2 linked regions of the Callithrix jacchus genome follow. The protein of the gene in region 1 interacts with the protein of each later gene in a pairwise test. Links are inferred from orthologs where the notes say so. Each region holds a gene or a part of one and is shown in the gene's direction. Other genes may lie near its edges. The genes, in order: KPNA5 and ANP32B.

The links.
Region 2: the proteins of KPNA5 (region 1) and ANP32B interact in binary tests that used the Homo sapiens proteins (3 or more experiments, as listed by UniProt). The two-hybrid records come from large-scale screens. The link is inferred for Callithrix jacchus from reciprocal best matches to the Homo sapiens genes KPNA5 and ANP32B.

The regions. Positions count from the first base shown.
Region 1 is NC_133505.1:123,054,363-123,070,884, forward strand, and holds the end of KPNA5 (importin subunit alpha-6), read left to right. Parts: intron 1-1,147; coding exon 1,148-1,311; intron 1,312-3,526; coding exon 3,527-3,605; intron 3,606-4,965; coding exon 4,966-5,091; intron 5,092-5,688; coding exon 5,689-5,816; intron 5,817-8,672; coding exon 8,673-8,851; intron 8,852-11,882; coding exon 11,883-12,070; 3' UTR 12,071-13,029; downstream 13,030-16,522. UniProt on the Homo sapiens protein: Functions in nuclear protein import as an adapter protein for nuclear receptor KPNB1. Binds specifically and directly to substrates containing either a simple or bipartite NLS motif.
Region 2 is NC_133502.1:146,120,017-146,136,538, forward strand, and holds part of ANP32B (acidic leucine-rich nuclear phosphoprotein 32 family member B), read left to right. Parts: intron 1-3,253; coding exon 3,254-3,403; intron 3,404-6,807; coding exon 6,808-6,930; intron 6,931-12,466; coding exon 12,467-12,656; intron 12,657-16,522. UniProt on the Homo sapiens protein: Multifunctional protein that is involved in the regulation of many processes including cell proliferation, apoptosis, cell cycle progression or transcription.

The DNA.
Region 1 (16,522 bases):
TCTTTAGAGGACAGACCCAGCAGAGATGGTAACTACTTTCAGAAGATGATAGTTTACATGCTGATAATCTTTAAAATAGAGGTAAAGGAAAACTCATCCAAAATATTAGAACATTTAAGAAAAAGGTCATCACATTTTATTTGTGAGATATGTAACATATAACTATAGTTCTTAACTGAGGAGAGAGACTAAGGGATATGTTAGGTGCTGTTTTTTTTTTTTTTTTTTTTTTTTGAGGCAGAGTCTTGCTCTGTCACCCAGGCTGGAGTGCAGTGGCGTGATCTCGGCTCGCTGCAACCTCTACCTAACAGCTTCAAGCAATTCTTCTGTCTCAGCCTCTTGAGTAGCTGGATTACAGGTGCCCACCACCACACCTGGCTAATTTTTTTGTACTTTTAGTAGAGACAGGGTTCACCATGTTAGGCAGATGGTCTCTATCTCCTGACCTCGTGATCTACCAATGCCATCCCCCCAAAGTATTGGGATTACAGGTGTCATCCACCACACCTGGCCAAGTTGCCGATTTTAAAAAACAACTTTAAGGAACATAGCATCAATAGTGATCACGGGAATAAAAAAAAAAACAACATTTGAGTGCCTACTGTATGTCAGGCACTGTTCTTAGCTGCTACCTGCACTCTTATTATCAGTGTAATAGTTTATTAATGACTTCCACTTGACTACTCTTCACAGATATATTCATTTTTATACTTTTTGTACCTTAGTTCCTCAAATGATTGTTAGATTTATTTCCAGTTAAGTACATGTAATGAATAAAGTGAGGCTCATTAAAGTTAGATTATATTCAGTGATCATCGCATCAAACACTTAACTGGAACATTTGAACTTCTCAGTTTTGGTGTGCTTGTTTTTGTGTGGGGGTATGTGGTTTAGACACAGATGAGATCCCAAATATTTTACTATTTTTTAAAACATTTTACCATATATCTCATTCAATATAAGATTAGTAGTAATCATAATCAGCTTCATGTTCATATATCTGATTATAATTTTAAAACAATATAATACATTTTCTGGTATTTTTATAACATTAAATTTTTGTTTTAAAATGAATTTCTATATTTTTCTAAGGAAACTTGGTTTTAAATAGAGAAAAAATTTGAATATGCTCTTTCTTTCCTTACAGGTTTCACCTTGCTTAAATGTCCTGTCACGATTGTTGTTTAGCAGTGACCCAGATGTGTTAGCAGACGTGTGTTGGGCCCTTTCTTATCTCTCTGATGGACCCAATGATAAAATTCAAGCAGTCATTGATTCTGGAGTCTGTCGAAGATTGGTGGAACTTTTGATGTAACTATAAATAATTTATGCTTACTAATTATATAATTGGGATTAAGTTTAGCAATTAAAGTAATAGCTTTGTAAATATCTCAGGAGTCACTATCTTCAGGGAAAATGAAAAAGTTAATGACCCTACACTTAACAGAATACCCATAATCCTAGAAAGTTGACCCTAAAACTTGTAACTTATGTCCTGTAGTTTTATGAAATGTCTGTTAGCTGCTAAGGTGTTGTGTGAGGCATTGTTAATGAAGTGTAGAACACAGTTTCTGCTTTCACAGAATGAATAATCTAGTTTATTATTCTTGGTAATATTTAATTTGAGTAAAAGTCCATGTAGCGAAAATCATTTAGTGTTTCACTTCTATTAAAGATAATATATTTCTCTTTGCTGGGCTGTTATAACTATTTTCCTTAAAAAGAACAGCTTTCTGTACAAAGAAGTTTATGTTTAAGAAAACTTTTTTTTTTTTTTTTTTTTTTTAAGACAGAGTCTCGCTCTGTCACTAGGTGCCAGGCTAGGGTGCAGTGGCATGATCTCGGCTCACTGCAACCTCCACCTCCCGGGTTCAATCAATTCTCCTGCCTCAGCTTCCCAAGTAGCTGGGATTATAGGTATGCACCACCATGCCCAGCTAATTTTTGTATTTTAGAAGAGACGGGGTTTTACCACGTTGGCCAGGATAGTCTTGATCTCTTGACCTTGTGATCCACCCGCCTTGGCCTCCCAAAGTGCTGGGATTATAGGCGTGAGCCATAGCGCCCAGCCGAAGAAAACATGTTTTAGAAAGATGTTGTAACGTCATCTTCTTACTTCTTTTAAAAAATATATTATCTTCCTTCCCTTCTTCTTTTGTCAAAAAGTCATTAGGTAGGCCCAAACAAGGTAGATGGCACAAAGAGAGGTCTGATAAGAAGTTGGGGATCCCAGCATGAGGATAGCATCAGAGGAGGGTAGGCATGCAGGTTCAATGTGGGGACCAGGGCCCAAACTTGATAATGGCACCCACTGGGGTGAGCAGATAAGCAGGCTGGAACAGGGCTTGGAGCCAACACATCCTGGGGTGGCAGTCTAGCAGAGGTAAAAGATTGGCTGATGTAGGGAGGTTAAGAAAATAGAAGCTATTTCCTGTTATCAGAGAATGGAGATAAAAATATGGAAGATGAGAAAACCTGAATAATTTAATGATTTTTAGATTAGAACTAGAAATATCAGTGTGAACTCATGGCTCTTAACATAGCTAGGTATAGAAATAAATATATATGTGTGTGTGTATGTGTGTCCTCTTAAAGGGTCTGGGAGCAGTAACACTTATACATTAATAAGCTGAGGAAACTGAATGTTCAAATCTAAGTTTCTAAATTCCACTCTCCATTGAAAGGAACCAGTATTCTTGGAGAAATGACTGATTTCAGGGATGGAACTGATAAAATGTAAGATGAGTGCAGGAAGTAATGGGTGCTCAAGTAATGGAGAAATGTGAAAAGGACGCAGAAGCCTGTTTGAAGGGATTCTCACTATCCAAACCCGGGACAGTTTGAGCTTTGAAATAAATTATATTAACATATATTTTATTGAATAAAATATGAAATCCAAGTCCACATTAAAGCATGTAATTGGAATGATAGTATTAGAAATACATCATTGATAATAATACTAATAATTAACAACACTTCAGACAATAAGCCTCAAGAAATGCTAAAACTTAGTGGTAAAAGTAGGTTAAGGAATGAGATGTTGCATTATCTCAAGTATTTTGTTGCAAAATATTAATTATATTATTAAGGGGGAAACAGTAATGATATAGTGGAAAAGTCTGGCAGACATCATCATAATTAGTGACCAGAGTTCAGTACCATTATAATGGGAAAAAACAGATTGGGATATAATGAAAAGATTATAGCACTGATGGTATCAACAGCCAAAACCTGGGTCTTAATCATGAAAAACTTTGGATAAACCCAAATAACAGGCATATGATCTTCAAAAATGGGAAAATCATGAAAATCAAGGGAAGACTGAGAAATCTGGAAAGACATGGAACCTGACTGTAATTAATAATCCTGGATTCGATTCTTTGTTATAAAGATTATCAGAATAATTAGTAAAACTTCAGTGGGATCTTTGGCTGAAAACTCTGCAGGAGTTTGTACTATTTTTGTAACTTTTATGTAAATTTTAAATTCTTACTAGTATTTAGGTTCGTGTTTTTATTATTTTTAGGCACAATGATTATAAAGTTGTATCACCTGCATTAAGGGCAGTTGGTAATATTGTGACTGGTGATGATATTCAAACACAGGTGAGTTCAAACTTAAGTATTATAAATTGTTGACCTAATGGACTTTAAAAAATTTATGTTTCATATGACTTGATTGCATATTAATCAAGACTTAACATCACCACAATTGTGTGTGTGTCTGTATCTGTATCTTGGAGGATGGTGAGATGTCAAAGAAGATGTGTCATCAAGAATGACTCTAGCCAGATTTGGGTTACAATCTTTAATTAATTTATTTAGCTAGTTAGTTAGTTTAGTTAGTTAGAGACAGGGTCTTGCTCTTTCCCCTAGGCTGGAGTGCAGTGGTGTGATCATGGCTCACTTCAGCCTCTACCTCCCCCTCTCAGGCAGTCTTCCCACCTCAGCCTTCCAAGTAGTTGGGACCACAGGTGTGCACTACTACACCTGGCTAATTAAAAAAAATTTTTTTTAGGGACAGGGTCTTGCTATGTTGCCCAGGTTGGTCTCAAATTCCTGAGCTCAAGCAGTTCTCCTGCTTCAGCCTCCCAAAGTGTTAGAATTACAGGCATGAGCCACCATACCCAGCACAATCTTTCTTGAAGATAGAAACTTAAATTCTTTAACATATTAGATTCTCCTTTGTTTACCACCTTACAGTATATTTTTTATTCTAACCTACATATTTTCTTTCCTTTTTATCCTTTTAAAGGCCTATTTAGATACTAATCAAAGTTATTAAACAGTTGCTCTTTAGTAATTGACAGTTTTTCATTTAATATAGCTCTTTAAATGAAAATGCCATTCTAGACATGCACTGTAATTTTCAGTTGGATTTCCAGTGCACTGCTCCGTACTTCTTCAACCAGATGAATCTAAAGTAAATCATTGGAGTATTTCCAATATAGGAACATAATTAATCTTAAAGAATTATGATTAAAGAATGTAAAGGGACAATGCAGAATATACTTGTTTACAGAAGAAGAGTGAGATAGTAAAATTTTTTATGAAGCTAATTGATTCTACATGCTAATGTTTTTTAATGGTTCCAGTATTAGACTGTATGATATATATTTATATGTTCACCAATTCATTTGACAAAACTAGAGGTTGGATTCTAACTTCAATCACCAAATCTTTTTTCAAAGTTTTATCAGTTGAACTCCAAGAACATTTGTAAATTTGAAGGACGTACCTCTGATTTTCATTTTATTGGGTTGAGAACAGGGCACTTCTTTATAGTGGCACGAGACTAGGTTTATCAATAACAGAAGTGTAGAAGACAGCAAGTTTTACTTTGGGAAGAATTTCTCCTTTCTTTATTTTGTAGAATTGTTTTTGTACATCTAAATAATTCATTAGTAGATTTTCATGTAGATTTTTTACTATAAAACTTTTTGTTTCCATTTCTAATTTGTTTTAGGTAATTTTGAATTGTTCTGCATTACCCTGTCTCTTACATTTATTGAGTAGCCCAAAGGAGTCAATTAGAAAAGAAGGCTGCTGGACCGTTTCTAACATCACTGCTGGAAATAGAGCTCAGATTCAGGTAAATACCCTTCAGATCTGAGAGTAGAACAGCAAGGTCTAAGAAGCCCGTTTGGACAAAAGTCTATCAGTGTTTTTCAGTGAGTTTCTAAAAAAAATTCTTTTTAAAAAGATACCTAAAAAGTATTTTAAAGACCATGGCCTTTCCTCCTCTAAAATAGTAAGATTTACTTATATTCTACACGTGCACGCCTAGCACAATGCCTGATACATAACGGTTTGTCTTTAGAAAGATTTTTTTTGCACTAGTTTTAAATAAGTTAGGCAATAATCTTCCTCTCAAAGCTTTTAATGATTTATTAGGGTCCTATCAAGCTTCTTAGGTCAGTAATTATTTATCCATTTTAATCAGTCACATACCTTGTGCTTTATGATCTCTAAAATTTATATTTTGCTATTCTCCAGTCTTTGAAAAGCTAATTTCCTACCTAAAAAGAAAAAATATTTGAAAGTTTGCTGACAGTCTAGGAATAAAAAATATTTGGAAAGGTATTTCCAAAAACCCTGAAATTTTGAAGCTATTGGGTTTCAAGATATTTTTACTGGTAATATTTTAGAAACAGTATTTGTAGTGATTATATATTTTTCCCCCTCTCAGGCTGTTATAGATGCAAATATTTTTCCTGTTTTGATTGAGATTCTTCAGAAAGCAGAGTTCCGTACCAGAAAAGAAGCAGCTTGGGCTATAACTAATGCAACATCAGGAGGTACTCCAGAGCAAATAAGGTATGATATAAACTTTTTAATTGTTTTTTAAATGTAAATGAGACAAAAGTTGAAATAAAATATACTTTTATTTACTGATGAAACTAAAATATTATTTCTAAGTCAGTTTGATAAGCATTTTTAATCTGAAATGATAGCATGTATTATATCAATTATTCATTCACAATTTTTTTTTCATTTTAAGTATAATTAACATCATTCTCCTTGATAGGCTTCTTATGAAAAATGAGAGATTAAAAATTTGAATGGGAACAGTCTATGTTAATTTGCAGAGTACACTATCATGGGTATTAAATCTTTTTTTAAACCATTAAAATCACAACAATATAGCTTTATTATATAGAAATGGCTAATAAATTTGAATATCCATTTTAAATAAAATTGAAATAGACATTTGTTTACATGATGATCTGCTCCTCATTGATTGTTAGCCTTGCCTATGGATAGTATCTCTTATTTTTCTATACTGGTTACCTTTTTAAAGTATATCTATATATATTAGCTTTTTGAGTCTAGGCTTTTTAAATTTATTTATTCTGCTGACAGCATAAATAATAGGTGCATGGGCTTTTAAGTTAGCCTGATTTCAAATCCTGCTCCTTCAGTAAAAGTTGTATGGTCTTGACAAAGTCATTTAACCCTTCTAATCTAGTTTCTTCATATTTAAAAATGAGTGCCAGTAACGAATAGTACAGTCAGCCTTTGATATCTGCACATTTTGCATCTGTGGATTCAACCAACTGCAGGTAAAAAATATTAAAAAAGAAAAACACAGTAAAAAATGACAGTACAACAATACAAAATAATACAAATTTAAAAACACAGTGTAACAATTATTAACATAACAATTACAGTGTGTAAGCTATTATAATTAATCTAAAGATGATTTCAAATATGTGGAAAGATATGTATAGGTTGTATGCAAATACCATGCTATTTTATATAAAGGAATTGAGTATCTGTGGATTTTGGTATGGAGAGGGAGGGTGTCCTGGAACCAGTCTCCGATGAAACCAAGGGACTGTATTTTGATATTTAAGTGAAATTTATGTTTTTGAAGTGTCAGTACAGTGCCTAAATATTATTATTAGCTAGTAGATAATAACTAAGAATAGCTACTGTTATCATTATTTGTAATTGTCATGATTTGTACTATAGTATTGATTTCTGAATCTCTTTTTATCATGTACTTTGACTCTTCTTTATTTTTCATAGCAAAGTTTCATTTACACCTCTATTAAAAAAATCCTTACTTGTACAGAATCGTCTTCTTTGGAGAATCACTCCATGAAACTAGACTTCTTAGAAAATATTTTCTAATGGATATTTAATTTATTTTTCAATTTATAAAACAGGTCAAATTACAATGCTATTTTATAGTGAAATTTATTGTGAAATCATTGTCTTGCCTTCATTTGTAGTATTACCTTGCTCTCAAATTTGTATCGCTATATATTAGTAACATCTATCTCTGCCTTTTATTTTCTATTCTACTATCTTTTTGCTTTAATCAGTATTTCCACTTTGTGTCATTGATACAAGCAGTAATAAATCAAGACCCTTCCTTTGTTCTAGTTTTTATTTTTTTAATGCTGATTTTATTTTTATTTGGACTGCACGTTTGTTTATCTGCAAATATATTTTTTCAGTTAATTTTTATGGTTATATCTATTCTGTATGTTATTCCTTTAATTTATCAGTATAGTTAAAGTGCCAAACTGAGATAATTATTTTTCTAACCATTTTAATCATTTCATTGAGTCTACATATATGGGAAAAGACCTCTCGATACCAGATTAAGTTCTGTATGCATACTACTAGTTGAGTGCCTACTATTGCCAGTTACTGTGCTAAGTAAATCATTTCAGTATTGAGCACCAGCAATGTATTAGGTACTTTCATGTATTTTATCTCCTTTAATCTCATAACTGTGAGGTAGTTATTCATTTGACAGATATTTTTGATCAACTACAGTATAGTGTAAGGCAAATGAGTGCTGCGGTGAAAGTATATACATTTTTAGAGGGACAGAAACTTCTATTAAATGTCTATTGCGTTCTCACAAAACTCTCTGAGGTTGGTACTAATATTCCCATTTTAAGATGGGGAAACTGAAACACAAAGAGTAATTGCTCAAGGTCACACAACTAATAAGGAGTGGAATTGGGATCTGAAGGCACATAGTCCGGCTTCATAGTATGTTTTTAACCTTTCTACTTAATACAGACTTTTTGCCAAGTGAACAAATCAGTTACTTCATTTACATCATAGAGTATAAAAAACCGGCCAATAACTAGAAAAGGACACGCGTTAGGAAATTAATGGAATTTTTTGTGAATATTATTTATGAAAATTATTCACAAGATAGACTGTTTTGTTTCTAGAGGCTTTCTGTGCTTCTGAAACACAGCATATGTTTCAGAACATTAGCTGTGATTGTTTTTATGGGAAATTTTCTCAAGTTTAATTTAGAAGTCTCTTCTTTCCATTTCTGCCTACCCCCATATGACCTCTGTGTGTGTGTATGTAGGCTTGCCTTAAAAATAAAATAAAAACCCTTTTGAACATCTGCCATGAAAAACAAGCACAAGTACCAGTCTGTGTGGGTATTTTATAGTATTTGCAAGACCATTTGTTGCTAATTATATTCAATTAGAGAATAGGCGAATAAAGTTTTCATTTTCCTATGTGAGAATTTAAATGTGTCTAATGTTTGTTTGTATAGGAATACTTTTTTCTAATTGCTTATTTAACAATTCACTATGAAGAATATTTTTGTGTCATTGCTAGAAATAGTACTTAAATCTTTTTAAATCTTTTTTTCCCCTTTTTTTTCTTTTTTAAATTAATGTGAAGATATTTGGTAGCCTTAGGCTGCATTAAACCACTTTGTGATCTTTTGACTGTTATGGACTCCAAAATAGTCCAAGTGGCTTTAAATGGACTTGAAAATATTTTACGTCTTGGAGAACAAGAATCTAAGCAGAACGGAATAGGCATTAATCCATACTGTGCTCTCATTGAAGAAGCATATGGTAAGTAATCAGTTAAAAATTTATAATTATTGATAGTTCTTAACTGTCTGTCTTAGATACTTTCCCCTTCCAGTTCCCTGTAAATTTTTTGTTGTAAAAGCACTATAATTTTTTTTAAGTTTTAAAATGTCACCCATAGTTTTATTACCCTAACAATTTATTTTTATTATTTACTGTTCTTTTTGCATTGTCTTTATGCACAAATACTTTACATTGACCTAATCATATTATAAATATAGTTTTATGTTCTACTTTTTAACATTTTGGAGAAATTTTACATTTTTACATAGTATTTATTATAATGACCACATAATGTTTTATATATATATATATATATATATATGTATATATACATATACATACATACACATAAAATTTACATATAAATATATACATATTTACATATATATTATATATTTAAATATATACACATTCACATATATATTTATGTATAAATATATATACATTCCCACACAATATATATACATATTTACATATATTATATATACACATTTATATGTATATGTGTGTGTGAATATGTGCATATTATGTGTAATAATGCATTTATACATGCAAACATGTATTTATATTATATACACAAATATTTACATATATACACATAAACTATATACATATTTACATATATAAATATATACATATATAAAAATAGATACGTGTTTACATATATATAATATATATGTACTTTTTTTTCTTGAGAACACAGTTTTACTCTGTCTCCCAGGCTAGAGTGCAGTGGTGCTATCTCGGCTCACAGAAACCTCTGCCTCCTGGGTTCAAGCAGTTCATGTGCCTCAGCCTCTCGAGTAGCACAGGTGCACACAACCATGCCTGGCTAATTTTTGTTTTTAGTAGAGATGGGGTTTCACCATGTTGGCCAGACTAGTCTTGAGCGCCTGGCCTCAAGTGATCCACCTGCCTCAGCCTCCCAAAGTGCTGGGCTTATAGACATTAGCCACCATGCCTGGCCATAATGTTATATGTTGAGTGAGATTTTAGCCATTTGAATGCAGGTTTAACCATAACCTGTTGTTGAACATTGGGTGGTTCCCAATTTATCACTTTATGTATACCAAAGTATTTATTTCTTCTGTGGAATTAATATCTGGGGGTAAATTTTCAGGAATAAGTTGCTGAGTCTTAGTTGCTGAGTCTTCTTATTAAGCTTTTGATATGTCTTCTTATTTTGCTTTCCAAAGGCCTGTTGCTGATAGTGTCAGTGGCATTATATGAATCTATTCTCCCACCTCATACTTGATTTGTTGATTTTGCTGACTCAGCCGATGTAAAATAGTACAGCAAGTTGCTTTTAGGTACATTTTTTGGTTTATTTCCTATAGATAGTTGTATGTATTTTTCTTTTCTTTTTTTTTTTTAAATTTTATTTGAGATGGAGTTTTACTCTCGTTGCCCAGGCTAGAGTGCAATGGCACAATCTTAGCTCACTACAACCTCCATCTCCCGAGTTCAAGTGATTCTTTTGCCTCAGCCTCCCGAGTAACTGGGATTATAGGCATGTGTCACCATGCCTAGCTAATTTTGTATTTTTAGTAGAGACAGGGGTTTCACCATGTTGATCAGGCTAGTGTAGAACTCCTGTCCTTGTGATCCCCCCTCCTCAGCCTCCCAAAATGTTGGGATTATAAGTATGAGGCACTGTGCCTGACCAGTAGTATGTATTTTTCACCAGTTAGTCTATTTCCTCATCCAAATTGAATATTTATATTGCTTTGGTGATCTATTTGACTCTTTTTTTTTTTTTTGGTAAAAACTTGAATTTTATTTTATAGTATATTTTGATATGACTTTTCCTTTGGTCTATTTTTTATTATTTTCAGATCATTCATTGAATATGTTTTTATTTTAACAAAAGAAACCATGTTCGTTGGTATTTAACATAAATAACTCAGGCGAATTTTCTGTTCTTGTGAAGTTTACAAAGTCATTGTCTTATAGAGATTTTATGAAAATTAATTTTTTTATTTGCCAAGTTTTTAAAGTTAGGTTCTTAAAACATTTAACTTGATCATATGGAATTTATTTCAGATAAAACATGAATCTAAATTGATTATTTTCTTTTATTTGCGTTAAATATTCACTTTTCTGTAGTACGTGCTCTTACATTGTATGGCTGATTCAGACTTTTATTTATGATTCTTAATGCCCATGACACCACTTTGATTTTCTTTCAAATTATATAACATATCTGGCTTAGACATTACATGAATACAACATATTAGTCACTGATTTAAGAATATTGTCTTACTATGGTCATTATTTTGGCCCCAAGTTTGGCTATTCTGTTATTGTACATAGATATGACTGCTTTGCTGCTTTTTTTATTCTATGATAATCTGATTGAAATGTGTGGTTTATCTATAATTAAATGAAATGTATCTTCAGCACTACCCAGACTTATGTGTAGAGCTTTTTCCTGTAAGCAGTAAAATCGGTTGCTATAGATTATCCTCATCTTTTTAAAATGAGGCCTTTCAGTTTCACTTGCAGATTGTAATTCTATTACATCATACAGCAGCCATATGTTTTTTATTGTCTGGGTTTACAAATTTTACACATTTATTTCATACTGATACTCTCTGGCTCAGCATATTTTGGTTTTTTCATTTGTTTTGTTGCTTTCCTTTTTTGTGCTTTGTTAATTACTCTGGAAAGGACCTGTGGAGTTACTTAATCTAAAACTGTCATTTTACAGTTGAGAAACTAAAGTACAGAAGTACTGAACTTTCTTGGCCAAGATCATACACCTAGCAGGGTGGTGTCTGTGATCTTCTTACTCCCAGGCCTATGGTCCTTCTTCATCTCACACTGCCACATACTCTCATTCTTGAAGTATAAATCATAAGTGATGGCTATTGATATGTGCAAAAATTAGATTAAAATAGCAGTTCCATTGCCAATGAGGTGATAGATGATGTTCACTTATTATATTGATTTGAACATACACTGAAATTGTAGTAACAGTTTGTTTTTAATATATACATTTATATAATAGGTCTGGATAAAATTGAGTTTTTACAAAGCCATGAAAATCAGGAAATTTACCAGAAGGCATTTGATCTGATTGAACATTACTTTGGTGTAGAAGAAGATGATCCCAGCATTGTACCGCAGGTGGATGAAAACCAACAACAGTTTATATTTCAGCAGCAGGAAGCTCCAATGGATGGATTTCAACTTTAACTTGGTGGAGGGAAAAAAAATGTATGGCTAAAAGGGTAGCTTCAGGTAACTCCTCTTTGTTGCCAGTGTCAGTAAGAACTTTTGCTTTTTTACATAGAACAGAAAAGATAATTTGACGCACTTTTAGAAAGCAAAATGAAACAAAAATTTTCATTCAGATGCAACCTTTCATTGTAGTTTGTTGTTGTTTTAGTCTTGTTGTTGTGCCTGTATTTATATCTTCCATTGTTAGGATTTTTGTATCTATTTGAGAATAATTGAATATGCAACTCTTTAGTAATTTAAGCTTGAAAAGGAGAACTTAGGTAAAGTATTACTTAGTAATTCTGAATTTTTTCAAGCATTCTTGGAAACTGCACATTAGCAGTGCACCTATTGATAATTGCATTTTGGCAGTAAGTCTTACACACCCAATCTCTACTAAATCTACCTCTATCTTGAAGCAGAAATAAAAACAAAAAAGCTTCAGAAGCATGAAATAATGCAAATGCTAAATTAGAATGTGAAAATATTTACCTTAAATTACATATATCACTGTGCTGTAGGTTATATTTTGCAAAAAAAAATGGCAACAGAAAACCTATAAAATTTATTTATAAAACATAGAAGAAATATTGTACTGATAATCCATTAAAATGTGGCAATTGCGAAGAGAGAAGCTGTTCTTCATGTTGAACACATTAAGAAGATTACAAGATGTTTAAATACTTGTGTTTTTCACATATGTGTTATGTATATTAGTATATTTTGTATTTCAACCAAATATGCTACCATTTTGAAATAGTGTTTTATTGTTTCACTCATTGTTTTAAATAGCATCATGACAGATATGTCATCATGAATCTAAAATAGTGCTGCATATCTAAAATAACTTAGATTATTTCTCTGATTTTTCAGAGCAGTAATTGAAAAGTTTCATTTTCTATATAATAATAAGTTTAGGTACTTGAATGACAAAATTATCCTGAAAAAATAACCTACTGTTATTAGAAATGTGTTAAATTTTATTAAATGCATTTAACATTTGGATGCTAAATGATGGTGATAATGAAAATTGCTAAGGATTCTTTAATATGGTTCAAATCTATCATAGACTTTTTTTTCTTTTAGTAATACTCAGAGGGTTATACTGCTGCTTGTTATGAATTATAGATTACATTCATGTCAGATTGGTCAATATGTATGTTTTATGATTTAACAGCAAAACCTCTTCAAACTGAAAGTTTAAAAGAAAGGTTTCAATAGAAAAATTATATATATATATATTTATTTATGTATACATATATATCTGCGTGTTACTCGTACAGTTCAACTACTGTCGAACTCAGTCTTTTAATTTATAGTTCTACATAGGCTATTTACATTTCCAATTATAAACCTAGAATACTAATTTAAAATTTAGTTTACAACACTTTCAAGATGAGAACTAAGGCAATTTTGATATGATTCATGGTCTGTTCTTTAAAGAAAGATTTCATTTATGATAGTATTTATAATGTTTCTGCTGGAAATCAGAGGCACGTTCCAAGAGGAAAATGTTTATAGGAGTACTTTTAAAGAACATGTCGCTTTGTAAATTATGTATCATGAAACTAAGCTGTTAACAAGACACTTAAAACCTACAGCTGTAAGATATAGGTTTAAATGGTGTCCCTAATGCTGACTGCATCTGCCAGCCCTTTTTTATTGTTGTTAAGTAGAAGATTGTATCTGTCCTTTTTTTTTCATAGTAGAAAGTATATAGTTGAGTATAAAATGGTTTTCTTTTACATAACTCTATATTCAGAAAACAGGGTAGTTATATTAAAGCGTACCGAATTGATGGTGAATTTATTGGATAAACATTTTTGTGGTGCAGATGGTTCTAAGTTTCAGGTGACAGGGTATTCTACTCTTTCTAGGCAATTAAAATCGATAATGCAGCATAATTCATAAACTAACCAGCTGTGCCTCCTTTTATTTTGAGCACCCTGTAGTCAATATAATAAATTTCTAAGCCCAAATTTTCAAACAAAATAGTTCTTAAAGAAGGAAAAATAATAAATATGTGTGTGCTCATGCATGCACACAGAAAGACCTATGAAAGGAAACTTAAATTTTGCCAGTAAAACGTATCTCTAAGTATGGACTATGATTATACTTCATAAGCATTTAAGTACAAATTTATATTTATTCCCATGAATACGTTATTTGGGTAATTAATTTTAGATTTGATTGCAAAGAGCACTATATAGCAGTTGGGACCAGCTCTTGGCCTGGATTATTGTTTTGAGTTTATTGGATCAAGACTAACAAATACTTAGTTATAAAATTTAAAAAATATATAGCTACTCTTTTCAGGTATACCATTTAAAATGCTCCATCAGGCAGAGCCCTGACCAGGAAAGAAAGAAAAAAAAAAGAAATTGAAAAAAGAAAAAAGGAAAGAAAAAAATAAAATGCCCCAAAATATGTTTTCATTAGTCTTCACTGGCCCTTGTGGAGGGAAAAAAAATACGTTTTTAAACTTGTTTTTCTAAGATTTGTTGTATTTAAATCCAAGAGAAACTATGCCAAAAAAAAAAAATGTATTATAAAGAGTAATGCATGTAGCATTAATGCAAATATCAAGAAAATACTTGAAGGAGTCCTTTTCATTTATTTAATTAAACTTGGTGTTTTATTTTGTCTGAACCTGAATTTCTCCTATTTAATCTATGCAATTTTGCTTGTTTTATATTTGTAAGGACTTGACTCACTGGTGTGGTCTTTTTACTATGTCTTATTTTGAAAAGTTGTTTCAAGTGGTAGTGTCCTTACATTTTAGTGTCATTTGGTCAACTTACTGGTAACACCAGAACAAGAAAGCAAAAAAGTAATAAATTCTGCTGGCACAGAACTAACATATCATTTGTAAAACCTATTTGCAGTTAAAGGTTGATTTATTGGATAAAGGACTAGAAGAAGCATATATTACCTTTGCCTTCATATTTTTTAAGAAGGAGCATTATGGAAAAATAAATATTAAAAAATCTTAGTGAATTTTTGTTGCTGTTCTCAATTCAGCAATCTGCTGGCTGCTTGTGAAACTGTGAAATCAAATTGTTCTTAAACCTTTATTCAGTTTAGTTTATAGCATTACTGTTTTATGAAATGTGACATTTTAGGAGCCAATATAATAGAGCTCTAAAAGGATAGTATATGTTTAAATTCTGACTGGGGAGTAAGAAGAGAAAATATTCTTACCCTATTAATTAAAACAACTTTTGAGCAGTATGCAATATTATGAAATGTTATAGCACTATATTAAAAAGTAATAAAATATTTAAAAATTGCATTTATATAAATGTGTCCATTCCATTTTTAAGATTGTTGTTTCCTAACAGAACAAAAACAGATGCTATTATTGGTTAAAAACACATTTACTTTCTAAAACCAACAAAGGAGATAAAATAGAATTATGAAAAATAGGAGGGGACTCAAGATGGCGCTGTGAGAACAACCCAGGATTGGAGCCCGCGTTGAATTCGCAAACGGTGAGTCAGTGCTGCATTTCCAGACTGATCTTTGTTGCCCACAGAACGGGGAAACTCCCAAGTATAAAAAGACACGGGACGCCAGGCAGTAGGTCTGCCTGGCGAAGCCGGCAGCCGGGGTGGCGGCGGCCGGCCCTACCCAGCAATCCCCACAGGGCGCGCTTGTCCGGGTGCCTTGTTGAACCGGAAACCTGAGACTTGAGAGGGCTGGACTTGAGACTGAACGAGACTTGCACAGTAGCCCAGCCCAGGGGATTGCAGGGACAGATCGTTTGGGATACCCAGTGGGACGAACAAAACCGCGATTTCAAACTATCCCGGGCAGACGGTCCGAGACGCTCTGTGGGGGAGGGGCGTCCACAACTACGGAGGCAACCTGCCCCAACTGATATACACGCCCACTGCTGAGGCAGCCAGCCATTGCCGAGGCAACCCGCCCCAACTGAGATACATGCCCACTGCTGACGAAGCCAGCCGTTGCCGAGGCAACCCGTCCCTACTGAGATACACGCCCACTGCTGACGCAGCCTGCCGTTGCTGAGGCAACACGCTACAACGAAGAGACTCCGCCGCAGGGCGTGGCGGAGACCACAGCAGAGCCGGCAGGAACAGCGCGAATCACACAACAGCAGGGCAGAGCCTCGGCAGCCAAACAGTGGCTAGTCTGCCTTTGAGCTGGGCAGGACACCTGATCGGACATCCAAAAATAAAGCCCAAACCACTCAACACAGAGCATTTGAGAAAAAAAAAAGGGTTGTTTAATGAGCTGTGTTGCAGCAGAATCAAACATAGCAGCCTAACAGCCCCGAATGAACAACAGAGTGCACAGCTCAGCAATTAAACCCCTATAAAGTACAAACTGTCTCCTCAAGCAGCTCCCTGACCCCTCTATATCCAAAAGACTGTCATTAGGCAGGCATCATCCTGGGACAAAGAG
Region 2 (16,522 bases), on another chromosome or scaffold:
TACATTGTAATTTCTTTAGCCGTTGAAAAATACTCTGTAATCAGAAAATTGGTCCCCTTTATATCCAAGTTTTCATCTTAGTCCCTCACAATTAAGACACAGACCCCTGTACAGTATTGCTGACAAACGCGTGGCCCTTTTTTTCTCATTCAGCAGTTACGTAGGCTCATATTCAGTGATACAGTGGTAACCAGAATATACATGACCCTGCCATTATGAAGCTTAGTCTAGCAGTGACTCTTTTTTTGAGACAGTCTCAGTTTGTCACCCAGGCTGAAGTGTAGCGGCACAATCTCAGCTCACTGCAACCTCCGCCTCCCAGGTTCAAGCAATTCTCCTGCATCAGCCTCCTGAGTACCTGGGCCTACAGGCACATGCCACCATGCCTGACTAATTTTTGTATTTTTTTTTTGAGACGGAGTTTCGGTCTTGTTACCCAGGCTGGAGTGCAATGGCGCGATCTTGGCTCACCACAATCTCCACCTCCTGGGTTCAGGCAATTCTCCTGCCTCAGCCTCCTGAGCAGCTGGGATTACAGGCATGCGCCACCATGCCCAGCTAATTTTTTGTATCTTTAGTAGACACGGGGTTTCACCATGTTGACCAGGATAGTCTCGATCTCTTGACCTCGTGATCCACCCGCCTCGGCCTCCCAAAGTGCTGGGATTACAGACTTGAGCCACCGCGCCTGGCCAATTTTTGTATTTTTAGTAGAGATGGAGTTACCATGTTGGCTAGACTGGCCTCAAACTCCTGACATTGGGTGCTCCATCTCCCTTGGCCTCCCAAAGTGCTGGAATTACAGGTGTGAGGCACCATGCCCAGCCAGGAAAAACATGTTTTAACCCACATTTGATTCCTCTGGTACATTTTGATGACACCTTTACAATGGTTAAAGTGGAATTTTGCAAGTTGAAAGAAAAGTCTTTTAAGAGGTGATTTCACTCCATGAGCTGGGAGGCAATATGGCCAACTGTCACTTTACTTTTTGGATATTGGGTCATTTTGTGTAACATTTTTGGATTATTTTAGACAGAATTATAGAAAATCTCCCAAGCTAAATGGGAACATTTTGATTGTATTACAGTATACTGCTTTATATGGGTGGGTGATGACAGTTGACATTTTTAAAAGTTTAATGGATTGTTGGTTTTATGGTTTAGTTTAGAAACTAATGGTTTAGTTTCTTTCTTTCTTTTTTGAGATGAAGTTTCACTCCTTTTGGCCAGGCTGGAGTGCAATGGTGCCATCTCAACTAACTGCTGCCTCAGCTTCCTGAGTAGCTGGGATTACAGGCATGCACTACCACCTCCAGCTAATTTTGCATTTTTAGTAAAGATGGGGTTACTCCATGATCATCAGGCTGGTATTGAACTCCCAACTACAGGCATGAGCCACCGCACCCAGCCTAGTTTCTTTTTAATACAGAATTTAAAAAAAAAAAACAATAAATACATGCTTGTAAAAAATTTAATACAAATATAAAAATACAGCAAAGGTCTCTGACATTTCCCATTCCCTTTACCCAGAGTTTACTTTCTGGCCATTTATAGTGTTCCAAGCCCTAGTTCCTACAACTTCATGAGGTAGGTACTGTTATGTCCACTTCATGGGAAACTGAGGCACAGAGAAGTGAAGTGACTTACACAAAGTTGTACAAGTTCTGCGTGGCAGAGGAGAACCAGGATTCGACCCCAGACATCTTGTTTCCAGAGCCCAGCTTTTGTCAGAGTTGACCTATTTTTTCAGATGTGCTCATTTCTTAAAAGGGAAGAATGGCAGAGATATCTAAAGAAAAATGGAAAGAAGGAAGGAAGGGAGGGAGGAAGTATGTGGATGTAAAGAGTAAAATGTATGCCTGGCTTCTGAAGAGGAAGTAGACAGGGTAGTGAGAAGTGGTTAGGCACTTACTATGTTATGGGTATTGCTGACTTGAAATCTGTTTCTTTCTCTATAAATGGGGGAAGGAGAGTGGTGGTAGAAAGAATAAATGTTTACTTCATAATTGAAAGCAATTATTAGAGTAACATCATTGGATTTTGTATGAGAGGATGAGGACATTGTTAATAGCTCCTGTTCTCTTTTCAGAGTATTAGCATCTCCCATATACATGCTTGATTAATGCCATTAAATATGGTAGGTTCACTAAAATTCTTTACAAAGGCATTCCGCCTTTGTTGGTGCAGTTAAAATGGTAATTTGCATCACTGTGAGTAGATCAAAGTGGGCTAAAAAAGTTGCAAGTTTCAGGGTGATCAAGAATGGCAATATGAATTATTGTGGTAGATCTGCATGTAGACTCTTAAATAATCAGTATTCAAAAATTCAAATCATCAGATGTGATGCTTTTTTTTTTTTTTTGAGATGGAGTTCTACTCTGTTGCCCAGGCTGGAGCGTCATGGTGCAGTCTCAGCTAACTGCGCCTCCCGGTTTCAAGCAATTTTCCCGTTGTAGCCTCCCAAGTAGTGAGATTACAGGCACTCGCCATAATACCCGGCTAATTTTTGTATTTCTGTAGAGAGGGGGTTTTACCATGTTGGCCATGCTGGTCTTGAACCCCTGACCTCAGGTGATCCGCCCGCCTTGGTTTCCCAAAGTGCTGGGATTACAGGCGTGTGCCACTGTACCTGGCCAGATGTAGCCTGAAAATGAAAACTTATTATCTAACAATTCTCTAGAAACATCTTTCTCATGTGCAAACCAGATCGATTTTTGTTTTGAATTAAGGACTCTTGCATCCTGATTTCTTCCCGGTGTCAAGATAATCTTGGCAAAGATTAATAAAACCAGAGCTGGAAAGTGTGTTGGTACAGAAATCTCTAGCCAGAATCTCTTAGTGGTCTTGGTAGGAAAAATAAAGCTTTCCTCTTTTCTGTGGTCATCTTCTGGGACTTAAGGTAGATTAGCCTAAAGAGTGTTTTCACTCTGTATTTGCATTTAAATGAAAGCTGCCCTTTGGGGAACAGACTGGGGAAAAGAAATAAGGGGAATACACTTACTTCACTTACATCTAAAGTATAGTGTCCGTTTCTGGAACATGAGTGTTTTATGCTAGTAATATTCCATCTTTGAATCTGTTAGCATATTGCTACTGAAGGCTTAATTATTTTTTATCTTTTTATAACTATGCTCTAAGTCTAAGAGGCTGCCCATATTATATGGGTGTTTTTGCAGGGTATTTATGGTGGAAGTTTTTGCATTCTTTGTTTTCAGAAATTTTTCTGAGAGCTTATTCTTTTTTGTCATCCACAGGTTCGAGAACTTGTCTTGGACAATTGCAAATCAAATGATGGAAAAATTGAGGGCTTAACAGCTGAATTTGTGAACTTAGAGTTCCTCAGTTTAATAAATGTAGGCTTGATTTCAGTTTCAAATCTTCCCAAGCTGCCTAAATTGAAAAAGGTAGGTGCTTTTCCTTTAACAGTAAAAGAGAACAAACCTGGGAAGGGAAAATGTATGATTTTACCTGTAAGGAAGCACTTAGTATAGCAGAAAGCACTTGACCTTTGGAACTGGGCAGATATGGGATGGAATTCCAGCTCTATCATTTCCTTGATGGGTGATCTTCTTCAGGTTACTTAATTTCTCTAAGGCCCAAATTCCTCACCTGTAAACTGGTGGCATTACCTGACCTTGCAGAATTGCTGTGATGTTTGGAAATAATGCATGTCGGGTGCTCAGTAAATAGTTAGGAAGAATAATTACTGTGTTTTGTGAGTAATTTATTTGTTAATTGTTATAAAACCAGTTCTTTATCCTTTCGAAAAAAAGGACCAAATGCTACAGAAAAATGTTTTCTTTTGTCATTGCACATTTAACTGTCACAGAGTCCCAGGACATCAGAATTGGAAAAAACTTTGCTCTTCTAACCCAGCTCCTTATGTTACAGACACAGCAATAGTCCCAGAAAAGTATAGTAATTTGCCTAAAGCCACCCACAGAAACGGTTAGTACTAGAGCCAAAACTAGAACCCATATCTCTCCTAACCTCATACCTTTTCCATTATATAGGAAAAAATGTGTGCTTATATAAGTATTGCAGAATTCTCTGCCATTTCAATATTCACTGTACTAGGAAACTTAAGTTGTACCTTTTTTTGACGAAGTCACACATAGAAGGAAATAAAATCAAACTTAGGTAAAGGTAGGCTGTTCCCAGAGCTTGCTTGTGTTCTGAGAGGGACAGTTAGTTTTTTTTTTGTAATGAAGGTTTTGTTGTTTTGCAGGAAGTGGGATGGGTTAAGTATGATACATGAGGTCGGCGCCATGGCTCACGCCTGTAATCCCAGCACTTTGGGAGGCTGAGACAGGTAGATCACCTGAGATCAGGAGTTCAAGACCCTTCTGGCCAACATGGCAAAACCCCGTCTCTACTAAAAATATAAAAAAATTAGCTGGGCATGGTGGCACGTGGCTGTAGTCCCAGCTACTCAGGAGGCTGAGACACAAGAATCACTTGAACCCAGGCAGCTGAGGTTGCAGAGAGCCGAAATCGTGCTACTGCATTCCAGCAGCAGAGCAAGACTCTGTCTCGATTTTTTTTTTTAAAAAGTATAGTACGTGAATTAAAAACTAGAAGTTTTTTTTTTTTTTTTTTTGGAGACAGAGTTTCACTCTTGTTACCCAGGCTGGAGTGCAATGGCGCGATCTCGGCTCACTGCGACCTCCGCCTCCTAAGTAGCTGGGATTATAGGCACGCGCCACCATGCCCAGCTAATTTTTTGTATTTTTAGTAGAGACGTAGTTTCACCATGTTGACCAGGATGGTCTCGATCTCTTGACCTCGTGATCCACCCGCCTCAGCCTCCCAAAGTGCTGGGATTACTGGCGTGAGCCACCGTGCCCAGCCTGAATTTAAAACTTTTAACATTTAAACATTAATCACTTCTTTTACAGGGCTAATGAGAGGGAATCATACTTAAAGGCAGGTTGAGTGTTCTGATGACTGATAAGGACTTTATTTTCTTCCTATCCCAGAACGTGAACTGTTTTTTGAGACAAAGTTTCATTCTTGTTGTCTAGGCTGGAGTGCAGTGGCATGATCTTGGCTCACTGCAGTCTCAGCCTCCTGAGTAGCTGGGATTACAGGCACGTACCACCACGCCCGGCTAATTTTTGTATTTTTTTTTTTTCTTAGTAGAGACGGGGTTTCACCATGTTGGCCAGGCTGGTCCTGAACTCCTGACCTCAAGTGATCTGCCTGCCTCTGTCTCTCAAAGTCTTGGGATTCAGCATGAGCCACCATGCCCAGCCCACAAACTGTTTTTAACAAGAAATAAGTACTGAAAAAAATGGTATATAAATGTCAGTTTTCTAAATTTAAACATCGATTTCATTTCCAAAATACATATGGTAATAAATGTTTAAGTATATTGCCTTGTTATTCCTACTCCCTAAGATACTCATGTTGAAAGGATGTGGATGTTACATGTGTATGTAATATTTCTAACCACATGGTCTAAAACATGGGTCAAGAAAAGTGATCTGTTTTTATTTTGATGTACTGAAATAATTAATAAAGCTAACACTCGACTGTTGATCATAGACACATTTTTAAGCCTAGACCATGACTAGATATTTCATGGAAAATTTCCCATTGGAAGGAAAAAATGTTTTAAAATGTTATATTTTCCTCTTCTGAAATATTTAATAACACCTTAAGCAGTTGACTAGTTTTTTTGACTAAGTTTTCAGCAAATACTTATATTTTTAAAAGTTACTCTACTTTGCATCATGTAGTACATTTCATTGCATGCCAAAAACTTCATTACATGACACTTTCATGCTATTCCAAGTATGTAGCATAATAAGGAGGACATGGATATTTATGAAGCCAGCCTGTCTGGCTTCAAATTGTAAGCCCACTATGGTTATTTTTGTCATCTGTAAACAGGAGTGGTAATTCTGCCTACCCCATAGGGTTCTTGTGAGATCAGATGAGTTAAGGTATTTCTAGTGCCTGGCGTTTAAATACTATGTAAGGGTTAATGTTACTGTTGTTGGCACTTTAAAATAGATAATTAGAATCAGCTGTGTAGCTTGAGTTTTTCTTGTCTGCTAAAGGAAAAGCTTGAATTAGTTGTTCTTCACAATGCTTTCTAGGCTCCAGTTCCTTCTACTTTAAGATTCTAATATTCCTTGGTGAAGGCTCATTCCCTCATTGGCACACTACTTGCAAGTGCTACTTGACCTGCAGCTAAGAAATTAGAGTAGGTTCTAATAAAGGCTAGTGCCAAGTTTATGCAAGATGTGGACTCTAAGGAGCTGGTTTCATAAACCTGAGGCTGCTGCTTTATGCACTTATTTGTAGGGCCCGTCTCTCTCTTGTGGCTTTCAGAGCAACATTCCCTGGTGGCTTCAAGAACTCCACCATGTATGGCAGCATTGTCCAGAACCAGATAAGGTTTCAAGTGGGCGTTGCAAGTTTTGAAGGTCCACAAAATAAGCTGCTCAGAATGCACAGACTGTTAAACCATTTACCCTTTCTGGCAGGTATAGGGTATTGTCAAATAATTCTAATTGGTTTTGAACCACTTTTTAAGTTAGAAAATTTATTCACTGATGTTAGAGACCGGTTGTTGACTAAGCTGTTATTAGCAGCTGACTAGGAAAACAATACTTCTAACCTTACCTTCTCCTGTTAATTATTTGGATTTAAACAAAATGAACATGCATGCCTTAATAGAAATAGGGATTATTTGATCTTGATAAATATTTGAGAAGTCCTTTTTACTTACAATACCTTAAATGATGTGTGTTTTCTCTGTGTGTATTTGTGTTTGTGCTGTGTCCATTTTCTCTTGCAGCTTGAACTCAGTGAAAATAGAATCTTTGGAGGTCTGGACATGTTAACTGAAAAACTTCCAAATCTCACACATCTAAACTTAAGTGGAAATAAACTGAAAGATATCAGCACCTTGGAACCTTTGGTAAGTAGTTAAGAATTTGGAAACTGGGACTTACTGGTCATTTTCATTTTCATATTTCTTTATAGTGGGGGAAATTACTGGCAATAATAATTGGTTGAGAAAGTTGTGGTTTTTTACTTTTTATAGAAGTCCCAATTTTAAAGATCAGGGCCTCTCTAATTAGATGTATTCTTGTGTCTTTACTCTTTCCCTGCCTGATACTGTGATGGCATCCTTCAGAAGAGGATTTTTGGGGGTGTTTTGTTTTGCGTCCACTTCTGAAATTTATGTATTGACTATATAGCCTTAAACATGTCTCTTACAATTTTTTTCCCCAGACTGCCCAAGCCATTATGCACTTTTATACTTTAACAGAAAAGGCTATTTATATTGTGTGGCATACCTGATTTGTAGATGGAACAATAAAAGACAGCTCCATTTTAAGCTTTAGGTCATCTAATTCATGACCTTGTGTTCTAGTTGGATTACTGTGCCTAGAGTTTTGCATGGAAACCTCAAGATACTCTTCAGTCGTACATATTGGGATAAGATAGGAAAAGCTAAGTTTCAGTGCCACTTGGGTTGTAGACTTGCTGTGTGACCTTGGGCAAACTGCTTCTTCTCTCTGGGCCTCAGTTTCCTCATTTATAGCAGAGGATAACAATCTCTGCCTTACTTACCTCACATAGGAGTTCTGAGAATAAGATAAAGTAATGTACTTATTTGCTTTATAAGGTAATCTGCTCACTTTGCTTTTTGTCCAGTTTGTGTGTAGGTTGTAGAGGCCAGAAAAGGGCTTCCAGAGGCAGGACTGGAGATAAGGGGCTTAATGCAGTTTGTAGGGCCAGTGCCACAGGCTCTGCTATTTGGCAGAGGGTTATATAGCATATAGGAGCTGTCTTTCAGAATCCAGAACAGACCCTAGAGGGTAAGACATTTCTTCTCTGTTGTTTCTGTCCTGATGTCAGAGTATATTAAAATATGTGAATTTCACATCAATTGTGTAAAATGCTCTGTTGATATTTCAGGAGAAGACGGAGTTAAATTGTACCTTCTTTAATGAAAAGGATTTCCTGTCGAGTTAGAAGATCTTTTCCTTTCTAAATTATTGAGACTCTGCTCCAATACAGATTCAATTACCTTTTACTGAATCTCTGCGTGTATAATATATGTATTCTTTTAGAGAGAGATGTTAGGCCAGGCTGGTCTTAAACCCCTGGCCTCAAGTGATCCTCCCACCTTGACCTCCCAAAGTGCTGGGACTATAGGCCTGAGCCACCAAGTCCGGCTGAGTCTCTTTATTTTTACATTTCATTAAGTTGTCCATATTTAAGAGCTCCTATTTCTCATAAATGTAATGCCTCACCAGTGCTCCATGAATTTTGCCCTTTTTTCCTGTTACAGGTTTGCCTAGATACTCAGGCTCTTACTAGTTTTGTTTCCTTCAAACCAACCCCCATTTCCAGTGTTTAAGCCGACATTTATTGACTTTTACTGTATCCAAGGACATTAACATTTGCCCATTGTATCCTTAAGTAACCCAGAGAAGAGAGAATGACTGTCCTCTTTTTAGAGATGAGGAAGCGATGAGTTTGGAGAATGTAGTACATTTCATTGTAGTACATTGTAGTACACTGCTCTGGGTAAATGGCAGAGTAGGAATTCAAATCTAAGTCTGGGCTGGGCAAGTGGCTCAGGCCTGTAATCCCAGCACTTTGGGAGGCCAGGGTGGGCGGATCAGTTACCCAGGCGTGGTGGCAGGTGCCTGTAATCCCAGCTACTTGGAAGGCTGAGGCAGGAGTATCACTTGAAACCCAGGAGGCGGAGGTTGCAGTGAGCCGAGATCATGCCATTGCACTCCAGCCTGGGCAACAGAGTGAGACTCCATCTCAAAAAAAAAAAAAAGAATTCAAGTCTGCTCTGCTTTCCATAGCCCTTGGGACCTGTTCTTCTTTTTCCATCTGTAATTTATTTCATGCCCAGATTTCAACAGGAGCACCAAATTTTAACTGCTGATGCTTTCCCATTCAGATGGGCTACACCAAGCCTATGTTTATTGGTTAGTGACAGACACACTAATCATAGGTTGTTGTGAGCATAAGAAACTCTTCTCCCCTTTTTTTCTAGATTTTTAAAAAAACAGAGTAGCAGGCAGTACCTTTTCACAGTTGATGACTAGCCATTACCTAATTCTGGTGGCAACTTGAGTTCTCTTTGATTATCATCAGCCTTTTTCAGTGTTGTAGCACACAGAGATGGAGCAGAAGCAAATACTGTGTGGGAGTTGTTTGCTTGAGTTTTCCTGATCTGGTCAGTAATGTATGAGAGGACCCTCTGATGGCTGTGAAAGTCTCAGTCCCCCAGGACAGTGGAAGGATGAAAAATAATCTTCATTGTTTATCATTTTTAGAGGATCTGCTATACCCATACACTTACTGGGTGCTTTATGTTTTATTGGTGGTTGTCAAAAAAAAAAAAAAAATCTTCGCTGTAAAGTGGATAGAAATAACATGGCCCTTATTTTATGTTGAGGAAGCTAAGGCTTGGGTGAGGCTGAATCCCTTGTCCAGAGTCACACACCCTGTGTTGGAGCCACAGGGCTACACACCAGAGCTATTTCGAAAAGCCTGGGGTCCCACCATTCTGCTGTACTTGGCACTCGGATTCCTTGGAATTAAGTAAATCTGTAGGAGAAGGTGAAGGGGGGAAATGTTGGGTCAATTTTGACTTCTGGCAGTATTCTTCAGTGGGGAAAAACACCATCCTCATCCTCATTAACCACATACATTTTGAACACCGTCTACTTTGAGCCCAGTTCTTACAGTCAATGCAATGATTGTGAATGCCTCTGCTTGCTACAGGGACATTAATCGAGAGACAAAGAAGGCATCAATTCAAACTTCCTTGGACACCTTTTTTAAGAGACCTGGGCCATCCAAACCATCCCCCAAAGCCCTTCTAAATTCTAAGAAGGCAAGCAAAATTATTGTTAATAAAATGTTTAATGTTTATTATGGCTAGCTTATTACCTTACATCAAATTTCTGGTATGGTAGAGTTGTAATTTTTTTAATCAGTATTTACACATTACATTGGGATCCTGAATAATCTGTGTGTAGTGTATCTTGTGCCTATTGGGCCTTAAAGCACAATTTTACTACTTTGAACAATTCCAGATTACTATAGTTATTTGGGATTTTTGTTGTTTACTTGCTTTCATTTCATTTTCCAACCTACTGATTGGCATGTCCAAATTACTTGATAATGGGTGCTTTGCCAGGAAGTAGCCAAAAATCTCACATAATTGTACAGTTTCAGAAACAGAAGAGCCTTGGAGGCCCTGTATACTGGAAGAGTCAATGAAACTAGAGAGAGAAAAAAGGGCTTTTGGTGGTATTATAAAGCATTAGATAAATATCTGAGGTTGTATGTCTTTGTACACCTATTTCTAGGAAATCTGAAATGCAATTGGCTCGTCCTTTAAGTGGAGAATTTTGAGAGTGAACCTTTTTGGAAAAGCTGCCTAAATGTACTTATGGTTCTATCTTAGCTGGCATAGAGTCAGCCTTTGTGAAGAGAAAGCCAGTATGCTAGCTACCTGTCTGGGGTGGCATTGCAGCAGTTTTTCCTCTTTGGCAAGAAGTCATACTTGGGCTCCTGGAAGTCAGGGCCTGACCAGAAGGGAACCTAATCTGAAAATTACATGATACAAAAGCAGCTCTATGACCAGAAGGGCTGGGGAGAGCTTTCTTAAGACATCAGGGAACTGACTATATAAGCACATTGTTTGATCCACAGACTCTTGGATCATTATACATTTATGTTATGACGGGTGCAACATTTGCCTGTTGATCTAACCCTGCTGTATTTATTCCCTGCATGAATAAAACAAGTGTGGGGGTCTCTTTCTTGATCAAGAAGATGAAGTTTCTTCATGTGCAGGGGTCAGGAGTCCTTTTTTCTAAGGGCCAGATAGTAGGTTCATTTGCCTTTGTAGCCTCTTTATCTAGTCTCGGTCACAACTAGCCTGCTTGGCCATTTTAGCACATAAGGAGCCATACATAAACAAGTGAGTGTGACTGTGTTCCAATAGAGCTTATTTTACAAAAACAGGTGGTAGGCCAGAATTGGCCACTGGAACACGGGTTCCCAACCCCTGCTCTATAGCCTTGCGGCAGATTTTCACATTGTTTTATATCTCCTCAGAACAACATAGATACCTTGAGTTCTGAAAATAACCTGTTTTGTTCTGTCTGCATTTCTTCTCAAGTCCTTATGAGTGTTGTACCAGCTTTCCTAATAAAGCAGCAAAGCCTGTTCAGCATCAACATTTATTTTTTAGAAATTACTTCATGTGGCGGTCCTCTTATATTTGTTTGGGTGTTTCTAGTACTATTTTCTTAGAGAATACCAATCAAGTTTTTCTCTTGATTCAGAACCATTAAAGGTTGTGTTTATGAAACTATCTAGATAGATGTACTTATCGCCCCTATTCTGAAAGGCACCAGGCTACGTGCTACTTCACATTGGGTTTGCCTTTCATAGATTTCTCCCTCTTCTACCTACAGGGGTCTGCTGTCACTTCCTGTTGCTATCTCCTGACTTGCTTGTAGTAGTACCTCTGCCCTCAATCTCTTAATTTTACCCTTAATCAAAACCAAGTAGACCTGGGATTGAAATACTAGTAGACTGACATAATAACAAACGAAGATCTTAGTAAATACATAGACATTTTCCTATGCACTTTGACTACTCAGAAAACTTGATTTGAGCCCCAAGTTTTTATAGCTTAACTGTTTTTAGATAGATGAAACTGATGGTTCCAAAGAAATGAGGTATTGCAACAAAATTTCAAGGTATAGTAAGTAAAATCAGAAGAACTGCATCATAAAAGTCTGGTAACATGTCAGTCTTTTTCCTAACAATTAAAAAAGAAGAATGCAGTATTTCTCCATATTTCTGAAGTTTCAACTCTGTACCCCTCTGCATTTTCTCCAGCCTGTGTTGACTCCTGTCTTCCCTGAAAATAGCTGCATTGCCACACTTTATATTTTATATTTCACCCTCTAGTGTTTCATCTCTGTGCCCTAAGTAAAATTGTAAGTACCTTGAGATGGTGTTATAAATCTCTGAATTTTTCCCTATAATATCGCCTCAGAATATTAGAGACTACTTAATACCCAGGAGGTTTTTAATGGCCATTTGATTATGCAAATGTTAACATTTGTTTCAACAAAATGTATTAAACTGTTTGATTGTCTCATACTGTGAAAATAATCTGGATATGATAAAAATTATTTTCATTTTATATTTCTTTAGACTATGCTGCCAGAAAAACATACAGTTCTCTGGGAGAGTAAGTAGAGAAAGAGAGGGACTAGTTAAAGTCTAGTAACCTAATATAAAGGTTGCAAAGACTTGATGTGTTTTTCTGTATACAAGACTGAGTGGGTAGCAGGAATTGAATATAGAGCCTAGAATTTTACCTCTTCAAGAGATGGGTTTGTTACTTATATTCCTTTTGTTTAGGAGTTGTGTCTTTTGATCCTTTTCTTCAGAAAAAGTTAGAATGTCTGAAAAGCCTGGACCTATTTAACTGTGAGGTTACTAACCTGAATGACTACCGAGAGAGTGTCTTCAAGCTTCTGCCCCAGCTTACCTACTTGGATGGCTATGACCGAGAGGACCAGGAAGCACCTGACTCAGATGCCGAGGTGGATGGTGTGGATGAAGAGGAGGAGGATGAAGGTGAGTAGGCTCAGCATCCAGTGAACTTGATGTCTGCCTTTGAAAGCCTCTGTTGAAAGCTATTGGATGCTTGCTGGGCGCAGTGGCACACGTGTAATCCCAGCACTTTGGGAGGCTGGGGCGAGGGGATTGCTTTAGCCCAAGAGTTTGAGACTAGCCTAGGCAACATAGCAAGACCTTGTTTCTACAGAAAATAATAATAAAAATCAGCCAGGTGTGGTGGTGCACACCTGGAGTCTTAGCTACTCAGGAGACTGGAGGTTGAGGTAGGAGGATCACTTGAATCCAGGAGTTTGAGGCTACAGTGAGCCATGATTATGCCCTATTGCACTCCATCTCACATGACAGGCAGTTTCAAGCTACCTGATGTTCTTACTATTGAGGAAAATTGTGTGTGTGTGTGTAATTTTTTTTTTAATGTAGGCATTCCATTAAATTTATAGCTAAGGCCTGTTTCATAAACTCCTGGCCTCAAGGGATCCTCCCACCTCAGCCTCCCAGGTACTGGGATTGTAGGGATGAGCCACTGAACCTGGCCTGGGAAGCATTTCCTGAAGCCTACAAGCTAGGTTAAGATGCTGTGCTTATTAAACTGTAAACCCCTTACTTACTCTTACAGTCTTGCCACTCTGCTGTTCTTAAGTCTTCCTACTTTAGGGGTCTCCAACCCACAGCCCACAGACTAGTACTGCTCCATGGCCTGTTAGGAACCAGGCCACACAGCAGGAGGTGAAGGGTGGGCAAGTCTCATCTGTATTTACAGCCACTTCCTATTGCTCACATTACTGCCTGCGCTTCGTCTCCTGTCAGATCAGCAGTGGCATTAGATTCTCAGAGGAACTCTAACCCTATCATGAACTGCACATGTGTGAGGGGCCTAGGTTGTGTGTTCCTTATGAGAATCTAATGCCTAATGATCAGAGGTGAAGCTGAGGCGGTAATACTAGTGCAGGGGAGTGGCTGCAAATTCAGATTAACGTTAATGGAGAGGTTTGACGACACAGAGACCATAATAAATCAATTTCTTGCAGACTCCTCAAACCTGTCAGTGAGTGGCAAGTCACATTTAAGCTGTATTTGCTGTCAGGCTTTATAGTGGCAAGTGAGTTGGCGTATTTCGGTTGTACAGCTGCATCTGGTGATAGGCTTTAATCAGAACCTGATGCTTATTTTAGTCCATGTGTGGCCTTCCCATTTTTTAATTTTCCACTTCCATCCACTCCTCTTTCTTGCACTGTGTATTCGTTTTAGCCCCAGTTTTGGTAAGCCCACAAGTTAACCCTAGCCAAAACAAGTAAAAAAACAAGTATAAGTGGAGAGCTTTGAAAAGGGATAAAGAGGGCTGGGCGCGGTGGCTCAAGCCCGTAATCCCAGCACTTTGGGAGGCTGAGGTGGATGGATCACGAGGTCAAGAGATCAAGACCATCCTGGTCAACATGGGAAACCCAGTCTCTACTAAAAATACAAAAAATTAGCTGGGCATGGTGGCGCATGCCTGTAATCCCAGCTACTCAGGAGGCTGAGGCAGGAGAATTGCCTGAACCCAGGAGGTGGAGGTTGCGGTGAGCCGAGCTTGCGCCATTGCACTCCAGCCTGGGTAACAAGAGCGAAACTCGATCTCAAAAAAAGAAAAAAAGGGGGAAAAGACTCAGTAATGAGATAGCAGAAGACAAGACTGCCAATGGGAAAAAAGCTTCATTAAAAAAAAAAATACCAAGAGTGATATTTAAATTACAGGTTTATTAAAACAGGTGATTCACATTCCCCAAGCCCACTTTGTATAATATGTGGCAACCAGCTATCCAACACAGCCATGAAACCTTCAAAACTGCTTCACTGGCTGGGTGCAGCGGCTCATGCCTGTAATCCCACCACTTATGGAGGCAGAGGCAGATCACCTGAGGTCAGGAGTTGAAGACCAGACTGGCTAACATGGTGAAACCCATCTCTACAAAAATTAGCCAGGCACAGTGGCGTATGCCTTTAGTCCTGGCTACTTGGGAGACTGAGGCATGAGAATTGCTTGAACCTGGGAGGCGGAGGTTGCAGTGAGCTGAGATTGCACCACTACACTTTAGCCTGGGCAATAGAGCAAGACTCCGTCTCAAAAAAAAAAAAAAAATTATTCAACACATGGAGAGCAAGCACCCTGCATTTAAAAGACAAGCCTTTAGAGTTTTTCAAAAGAAATATATGTGAACACAAAGAACAGAAGCAATTATTGAAACCTACCACTTCATCAAATGTGTCTGCACTGAGAACATCTAGGAGAGGCTACAGTTAAGCTGCAGTTAAAAGGTAGCACATGTTCCTCTTTCGGCTAGCACCGTAAACTAGATGTTGATGAAACAGAGAATATCGAGGCACAGTTGTTAAAGAGGACTGATGAGTCACCAAGGTATGCATTGCAGCTTGATGGGTCTGCCGATGCTGACAATATGGCAACAATGCTTGTTTTTGTGTGATATATTTTCAGGGAGGATGTGCATGAGACTATGTTATGTGTGCTTCATTGACAACACCACAGCTGCAGAACTATTCAAGTCTTTTGAATGATTAGGTATTAGGAAAACTGAATTGGTCATTTTGTATTGTATATGCACAGATGGAGTGGCTGCCCTGGCTGGACAGCTTTCTGTTTTCACTACTTGGGTCAGAGAGGTTGCTTCTGGATGTGAGTCTGTGTACTGTGTCACCCATGGAGAAATGCTGGCTAGCTGACAGATGTCACCTGAACTTAATGTCTTGCAGGATGTGATTAAAATTAACAGCCACATAAAAGTACATCCCGTTAACCCATATTTTTTCACACAACTCTATGAGATAGACACAGAGAACACGTCTTCTCTTACACAGAGAAGTGAGATGGCGTTTTAACGGTAGATCACTGGCCAGAGTTTTTGAGTTACGAGGCCTGCTCCAGAGATTTCTTTTAGAATAACAGTTGCCACTGGCAGAACATTTCAGTGATACAGAATGGTAAAACTTATTTTTTTTTAAGTTCAGGGGTACATGTGCAGGTTTGTTGCATAGCTACACGTCTGCCATGGTGTTTTACTGCACATATCATCCCATCACCAAAGTATTAACCCCACCATCCATTAGCTAGTCTTTCTGATGCTCTCTTCTCCCTGCCCCTGCAAAGACCCTTGTGTGTGTTGTTCCCCCCTGCCATGTGTCCATGTATTAACATACGGTGTTTAGTTTTCCGTTCCAAGCATTTGAATTTTTGATGTGTTTCAAACATTAGTAGTGATATTGAAAGAGACTGAGCCAGAACCTTCTTTCTCTCAGCTGGTGCATGATCACCTATCTCAGCTTTCAAAAGAGTTTGAGCATTACCTCACAACCACAAAAGACCCTCGAACTCGAAAGGACCCATTTGTGCATAAGCCAGGTCAATTGACTTTGTCCATGCTTGAAGAGGATTAAATGATTGAAATCACAAATGGCAGTAGCCTTAAAAGTATGGTTTGTGACAGCTTCAAAATTTCCGTATATTCTGGATTAAAGTCAAGGTGGAATATTCTGAGACTGCCACAGAAGCACTGAAAAACCTGCTCCTGGTTCCACTATCCTGTCTTTGTAAAGCAAGGTTTTCTGCAGTGACAGCAACCAAAACAAGATTATGGAGTAGACTGGACCTAAGCAACACATTTCCGGTGTCACTGTCTTCCATTGCCCCCAGATGGGACTGTCTAGTTGCAGGGAAAACAAGCTCAGGGTTCCTCTGATTCCACATTATGGTGAGGTGTGTACTTATGTCATTATATAGTATAATGTAATGATAGAAATAAAGTACAGAATAAACATAATGCATTTGAATCATCCTGAAACCATCTTCCCACCCCCAGGCTGTGGAATAC